Linked DNA regions of Macaca mulatta. The protein of the gene in region 1 purifies or fractionates together with the protein of each later gene. This does not show direct contact. Links are inferred from orthologs where the notes say so. Each region holds a gene or a part of one and is shown in the gene's direction. Other genes may lie near its edges. The genes, in order: AHDC1 and CBX1.

Region 1 (3,808 bases):
CCATTTGGGGAATTCAAATCTATTTCCTGTCTTATTGCCCACAGAGATCTCCAGTGTGACAGCCCAGGCGGCAGAGCCGAGGGTAAGTGGTGGGGGTTCTCCTGGAGCCCTTTGGGGGTAAGAAGCAGGAAGGCTGTGCCCTTGTTAGAGCTTCCTGGCCTTCTCCTTAAGTTTGATCACCCTGCTGATGTGCTTCCCTCTCAGAGGCAGGGGTCCTGTTCTTCCTGAGCACATAGCCAGATTTCCAAAGGGGATGAGCTGTCAATAAGTGAAGCTGGGCCAGGCATGGTGGCTCACGCCTGTAATCCCAGTACTTTGGGAGGCCAAGGCGAGTGGATCATCTGTGGTCAGGAGCTCAAGACCAGCCTGGCCAACATGGTGAAACCCCGACTCTACTAAAATACAAAAATTAGCCAGGCGTGGTGGCGCGTGCCTGTAATCCCAGGTACTAGGGAGGCTGACACCTAAGAATCGCTTGCACTAGGAGGCAGAGGTTGCAGTGAGCTGAGATCACACTACTTCACTCTAGCCTGGGTGACAGAGTGAGACTCTCTTTCAAAAAAAAAAAAAAGTGAAACTGGGGCCCATGAGGGGCTTGCTGTACATATGGTGGTTTGAGAAAGGCTGGGAGTCAGCAAGGGGATTGGGCTTGGGGTGGGGATGGGAGCTTGGTAAGGAGATGAGACCTCAGGAGGGAGGGGTCCAGGAGCTCATCGAGGATATGGGAAGCTGATGAGGATGTAGGTGTTCAGTAAGGGACCTCCTGCTCTTCCTGCCTGGCAGGTCCTGGTCCCGGCTTCTCGCACCCTCATGTCAGCCCCGGCCCCGCCCGGCGGCCTGCGGAGGACAAGGTCAGGATGCGTGTGAAGCCCCAGGGCCTGGTGGTGACTTCCAGTGCCGTGTGCAGCTCTCCTGACTACCTCCGGGAGCCCAAGTACTACCCCGGCGGCCCCCCCACCCCCCGGCCCCTGCTTCCCACCCGGCCCCCTGCCAGCCCACCCGACAAGGCCTTCTCCACCCACGCCTTCTCCGAGAACCCACGCCCACCCCCACGCCGGGACCCCAGCACCCGGCGCCCACCAGTCCTTGCCAAGGGGGACGACCCGCTGCCCCCACGGGCAGCCCGTCCTGTCTCACAGGCCCGCTGCCCCACACCGGCCGGAGACGGCAGCAGCTCCCGACGCTGCTGGGACAACGGGCGGGTGAACCTGCGACCAGTGGTGCAGCTGATTGACATCATGAAGGACCTGACACGCCTCTCCCAGGACCTGCAGCACAGTGGTGTACACCTGGACTGTGGTGGGCTCCGACTGAGCCGCCCGCCTGCACCGCCACCCGGCGACCTACAGTACAGCTTCTTCTCCTCACCCAGTTTGGCCAACAGCATCCGTAGCCCTGAGGAGCGAGCCACCCCACACGCCAAGTCAGAGCGGCCCAGCCACCCCCTCTACGAGCCTGAGCCTGAGCCTAGGGATAGTCCCCAGCCTGGCCAAGGCCATAGTCCTGGAGCCACGGCTGTGGCCACGGGTCTGCCCCCAGAGCCTGAGCCAGACAGCACTGATTACTCAGAACTTGCTGACGCTGACATCCTTAGTGAGCTGGCCTCCCTCACTTGCCCAGAGGCCCAGCTGCTAGAGGCCCAGGCCCTCGAGCCACCATCTCCTGAGCCAGAGCCTCAGCTCCTGGACCCCCAGCCCCGCTTCCTGGACCCGCAGGCACTAGAGCCGCTCGGGGAAGCTCTGGAGCTGCCACCCCTGCAACCTCTTGCTGATCCTCTGGGGCTGCCGGGCCTGGCTCTCCAGGCCCTGGACACCCTGCCTGACTCCTTGGAGTCGCAGCTGCTTGACCCCCAGGCACTCGACCCCCTGCCCAAGCTGCTTGACGTCCCAGGTCGCCGTCTGGAGCCCCAGCAGCCCCTGGGGCACTGCCCACTGGCCGAGCCCTTGCGCCTGGACTTGTGCTCACCGCACGGCCCCCCCGGGCCTGAGGGTCACCCCAAGTACGCCTTGCGGCGTACTGATAGGCCAAAGATCCTGTGTCGCCGGCGGAAAGCCGGACGGGGGCGCAAGGCGGACGCCGGACCTGAGGGCCGCCTACTGCCCCTGCCTATGCCCACGGGGCTGGCAGCCGCCCTGGCCGAACCCCCACCGCCACCGCCGCCTCCACCCCCTGCCCTGCCAGGCCCAGGCCTGGTCTCAGTCCCAGAATTGAAGCCAGAATCTTCCCAGACCCCAGTGGTCTCTACCCGCAAAGGCAAGTGCCGAGGCGTGCGGCGCATGGTGGTGAAGATGGCCAAGATCCCCGTATCGCTCGGGCGACGGAACAAGACCACATACAAAGTGTCTTCCTTGAGCAGCAGCCTGAGTGTGGAGGGCAAGGAGCTAGGCCTGCGTGTGTCAGCTGAGCCCACCCCGCTGCTGAAGATGAAGAACAACGGGCGGAACGTGGTAGTGGTCTTCCCACCCGGTGAGATGCCCATTATTCTTAAGCGTAAGCGCGGCCGCCCTCCTAAGAACCTGCTGCTGGGTCCTGGCAAGCCCAAGGAGCCAGCTGTGGTGGCGGCCGAGGCAGCCACTGTGGCAGCAGCCACCATGGCCATGCCAGAGGTGAAGAAACGACGGCGGCGGAAGCAGAAGCTGGCGTCTCCCCAACCGTCCTATGCGGCAGATGCCAACGACAGCAAGGCTGAGTACTCAGACGTCCTGGCCAAGCTGGCCTTTCTGAACCGCCAGAGCCAGTGCGCTGGACGGTGCTCGCCACCCCGCTGCTGGACACCCAGTGAGCCGGAGTCAGTGCACCAGGCCCCTGACACCCAGAGCATCTCCCACTTCCTGCATCGTGTGCAGGGCTTCCGGCGGCGTGGGGGCAAAGCAGGTGGTTTTGGTGGCCGGGGTGGGGGCCATGCGGCCAAGTCAGCCCGATGCTCCTTCAGTGACTTCTTTGAGGGCATTGGCAAGAAAAAGAAGGTGGTGGCCGTGGCAGCCGCTGGGGTGGGGGGCCCTGGCCTTACCGAGTTGGGGCACCCACGCAAACGGGGCCGGGGGGAGGTAGACGCTGTGACTGGGAAGCCAAAGCGCAAGAGACGGTCCCGGAAGAATGGGACTCTGTTCCCAGAGCAGGTGCCCAGTGGCCCAGGCTTTGGGGAGGCGGGTGCCGAGTGGGCCGGAGATAAGGGTGGTGGCTGGGCCCCTCACCATGGGCACCCAGGCGGGCAAGCTGGCCGAAACTGTGGGTTTCAGGGGACCGAGGCCCGGGCCTTTGCCTCCACTGGGCTGGAGAGCGGAGCCTCAGGCCGTGGCAGCTACTACAGCACGGGCGCACCCTCAGGCCAGACCGAGCTCAGCCAGGAGCGCCAAAACCTCTTCACCGGCTACTTTCGCTCGCTGCTCGATTCGGATGACTCCTCCGATCTCTTGGACTTTGCCCTCTCAGCCTCTCGCCCAGAGTCCCGGAAGGCATCAGGCACCTATGCAGGGCCACCCACCAGCGCCCTACCTGCCCAGCGGGGCCTTGCCACCTTCCCTAGCCGGGGAGCCAAGGCCAGCCCAGTGGCAGTGGGTAGTGGTGGGGCTGGGGCGGACACCTCCTTCCAGCCTGTCCTGCCCACGCGCCAGACCTTCCCACCAGGACGGGCAGCGAGCTATGGGCTAACTCCGGCCACTTCAGACTGCCGGGCAGCGGAGACCTTCCCCAAGCTGGCTCCCCCGCCCTCAGCCGTGGCCCGCTCACCTACCACCCACCCGCCTGCCAACACCTACCTGTCCCAGTATGGCGGCTACGGGGCTGGACAAAGCGTATTTGCCCCGGC
Region 2 (3,808 bases), on another chromosome or scaffold:
ATGGTGGCACACACCTGTAGTCCCAGCTACTCAGAAGGCTGAGGCAGAAGAATCACTTGAACCCGGGTGGCGGAGGTTGCAGTGAGCCAAGACTGTGCCACTGCACTCCAGCCTGGCTGGAGTGAGACTCCGTCTCAAAAAAAGGGGGGTGGGGTGGGGCGGGGCTTGGTGGCTCATGCCTGTAATCCCAGCACTTTGGAAGGCCACCATGGGCGAATCACGAAGTCAGGAGTTCAAGACCAGCCTGGCAGCCTGACCAACGTGGTGAAACCCTGTCTTTACTAAAAATACAAAAATTAGCTGGGCATGGTGGCTCACACCTGTAGTCCCAGCTACTCATGAGGCTGAGGCAGGAGAATCACTTGAACCCAGGAGGCGGAGGTTGCAGTGAGCCGAGATTGTGCCATTGCACTCCAGCCTGGGCTGGCGTGAGACTCCGTCTTAAAAGAAAAAAAAAAAAAAAAAAGGGCCGGGCAGGGTCATTCACGCCTCTAATCCCAGCACTTTGGAAGGCCAGGGCAGGCGAATCACGAGGTCAGGAGTCTCACTCTGTTGCCCAGGCTGGAGTACAGTCATGCGATCCTGGCTCATGACTGGCTAATTTTTGTATTTTTAGTAGGGACAGGGTCTTGCCATGTTGGCCAGGCTGGTCTTGAACCCCTGACCTCAGGCCATCTGCCCGCCTCCGCCTCCCAAAGTGCTAGAATTACAGGTGTGAGCCGCTGCGCCCGGCCTTCTTTGAGTTTAATGCAATATTTTAGCTACCATGCTCTTTTACAGATTTTTTGTGTGTGTGGAGATGGGGTCTTGCTATGTTGCCTAGGCTGGTCACACACTCCTGGGCTCCAGGAATTCTCCCACTTCGGCCTTCCAAAATGCTGGGATTGCAGATGTGAGCCTGCATGCGTGGCCCTAGCTACCATGCTTTATGGTAAAAGGAGTATTGGGAGCCTTTTTAAATGACAAAGAATGGGTATAAAAGTTGTAAATGGATACACAAGAATAAAGAAGTTTGCTGTGAAGGCCAGGCGCAGTGGCTCACACCTGTAATTCCAACACTTTGGGAGGCCGAAGCAGGCGGATCACCTGAGGTCAGGAGTTCGAGACCAGCCTGGCCAACATGTAGTGAAGTCCCGTCTCTACTAAAAAAAAACAAATACAAAAATTAGCTGGGCTTGGTGGCACATGCCTGCAGTTCCAGCTGCTTGGGAAGCTGAGGCAGGAGAATCACTTGAACCCAGAAGGCAGAGGTTGCGGTGAGCCGAGATTGTGCCACTGCACTCCAGCCTGTGCAACAAAGCAAGACTCCGTCTCTCAAAAAGAAGTTTCGCTGTAAGATTAATTGGGGCTGTTTTATGAGCTTTCTGACTGCACATATCAGAAAACTATTGTGTATCGAATGTGAGAATAGGCCTCACACTTATTGTAAGCAGCATATAATATTATCACCTGTCATGTCTCTGGTTTTCTTACCATCCAGATATTATCTAACCAATAAGAGTGCTCCCTAATTCCCTTTTTATTTCATTTATCATTTTAGCAGCGTCACCCTTTACACCAGAAAGCTGGCGGGCACTATGGGGAAAAAACAAAACAAGAAGAAAGTGGAGGAGGTGCTAGAAGAGGAGGAAGAGGAATATGTGGTGGAAAAAGTTCTCGACCGTCGAGTGGTAAAGGGCAAAGTGGAGTACCTCCTAAAATGGAAGGGGTTCTCAGAGTAAGTTTCACTGACACAAGTAAATGTAGCCACCAGGTGTTTATCAGGAGTCTAGAGATGTATGAGACCTCCAGTGCTGTGATGGAAACTGTGTGACTCAGTCCCCACCTTCATGGCTTATTGTTTAATTAGGAACATGGCCTACTGCTTGTTATACAGAGCAGAATGACTTCTTTTTTAAAGTTCTTTCTTTTGAGACAAGGTCTCGCTCTGTCACCCAGGCTGGAGTACAGTGGTGCAGTCATAGCTCGCTGCAGCCTCAACCTCCCAGGCTCAAGGTATCCTCCCACCTCAGCCTTCTAAGTAGCTAGTACCACAGGCATGCACCACCATGTCTCACTTAGTTGCCCAGGTTTGTCTAACTCCTGGCCTCAAGCAGTCCTCCCACCTGGGCCTCCCAAAGTGTTGGGACTACAGGCGTGAGCCACTGTACCCAGCCCATAGTGATTTCTGAGAAATATTGTGTGTGGCTATAGACCGATTTAAATTGACAAATAAAAGTCATTTGCCTTTGAAGGAAGCCAGTTTCTTAGCTTTCTATTTATACTAGAAAGCCTCCCCATTCCCCAAGAAATTTCAGCTTTTCCATGGACGTCTGAGCTCTTGTCCTCTTACGATTATCCTTAGTATGATTATACTTATTTTGAGTGAAAGTGTGACTTGCTGTGCCCTCTGGTTTCAGTGAGGACAACACATGGGAGCCAGAAGAAAACCTGGATTGCCCCGACCTCATTGCTGAGTTTCTGCAGTCACAGAAAACAGCACATGAGACAGATAAATCAGAGGGAGGCAAGCGCAAAGCTGATTCTGATTCTGAAGATAAGGGAGAGGAGAGCAAACCAAAGAAGAAGAAAGAAGAGGTAAGGATAGAAGTAAGAATTTTTACTGGCCCACAATTCAAACCACTGTCAAAGTAGTTTTGTTTTGCTTCTTCCCAGATATTAGCAGCCATCTCTTCTTAGTTCTGACATCTTAGGTAGGCTAATGCCTACAAAGTGAGAGTGTACTCTCATGAAGCCACATGATCTCTTACTTTTTTGTTTGTTTGTTTGTTTGAGACGGAGTCTCGCTCTGTCGCCCAGGCTGGAGTGCAGTGGCCGGATCTCAGCTCACTGCAAGCTCCACCTCCTGGGTTTACGCCATTCTCCTGCCTCAGCCTCCCGAGTAGCTGGGACTACAGGCGCCCGCCACCTCGCCCAGCTAGTTTTTTTGTACTTTTTAGTAGAGACGGGGTTTCACCGTGTTCGCCAGGATGGTCTCGATCTCCTGACCTCATGATCCGCCCGTCTCGGCCTCCCAAAGTGCTGGGATTACAGGCTTGAGCCACTGCGCCCAGCCAGTCTCTTACTTTTTATCCATGGTACAGGAGCAGTAAATGGGATACTTGCTGGGGACAGATAAAAGGGCAAGTGAATTCATTCTTGTAAAAAACGGTTTTCAATGTTTAATCATTAAAGGTGTGAGGTAGCTATTTTGACTTAATCAGTACGTACCTTAAAGTAAGTTGTTTTTTGAGAGTGAAGAGATAGGTGTAAACATTGATTTTGCTTGGGCTGTATGTCCCTTTTCACATATGGGAAAATCTCATGCGCTTCAGACATTGATGAATAATCACTCCAAAGAATTCTAACAGCTCTCTTACTTTGAGCCAAGGTATTGGTGAAATATTGGCAAAAAAGTTTGTGTTTGGGCCGGGCACAGTGGCTCACACCTATAATCCCAGCCCCTTGGGAGGCTGAGGCGGGCGAATCACAAGGTCAGGAGATTAAGACCATCCTGACTAAATGGTGAATCCCCGTCTCTACTAAAAATACAAAAAATTAGCCAGGTGTGGTGGCATGCGCCTGTGGTCCCAGCTCCTCAGGAGGCTGAGGCAGGAGAATTACTTGAACCCAGGAGGCAGAGGCTGCAGTGAGCTGAGATCGCACCACTGCACTCCATCCTGGGCAACAGAGATTCCGTCTCAAAAAAAAAAAGAGAAGAGTTTATGATTACATTAATCAGAGACACAGGAATAGTTCCAAGTCTAGATAATAGTCCCATATAGATAAAATTGTTCTACCAATCTTGTTTTTACAGTCAGAAAAGCCA

What was found.
Region 2: the proteins of AHDC1 (region 1) and CBX1 purify together in Homo sapiens (affinity purification with mass spectrometry; 4 studies listed by BioGRID and IntAct, with this or other methods). This does not show direct contact. The link is inferred for Macaca mulatta from reciprocal best matches to the Homo sapiens genes AHDC1 and CBX1.

The regions. Positions count from the first base shown.
Region 1 is NC_133406.1:213,394,581-213,398,388, forward strand, and holds part of AHDC1 (transcription factor Gibbin), read left to right. Parts: intron 1-44; 5' UTR 45-82; intron 83-783; 5' UTR 784-857; coding exon 858-3,808. UniProt on the Homo sapiens protein: Transcription factor required for the proper patterning of the epidermis, which plays a key role in early epithelial morphogenesis. Directly binds promoter and enhancer regions and acts by maintaining local enhancer-promoter chromatin architecture.
Region 2 is NC_133421.1:61,945,343-61,949,150, forward strand, and holds part of CBX1 (chromobox protein homolog 1), read left to right. Parts: intron 1-1,540; coding exon 1,541-1,717; intron 1,718-2,399; coding exon 2,400-2,577; intron 2,578-3,796; coding exon 3,797-3,808. UniProt on the Homo sapiens protein: Component of heterochromatin. Recognizes and binds histone H3 tails methylated at 'Lys-9', leading to epigenetic repression. Interaction with lamin B receptor (LBR) can contribute to the association of the heterochromatin with the inner nuclear membrane.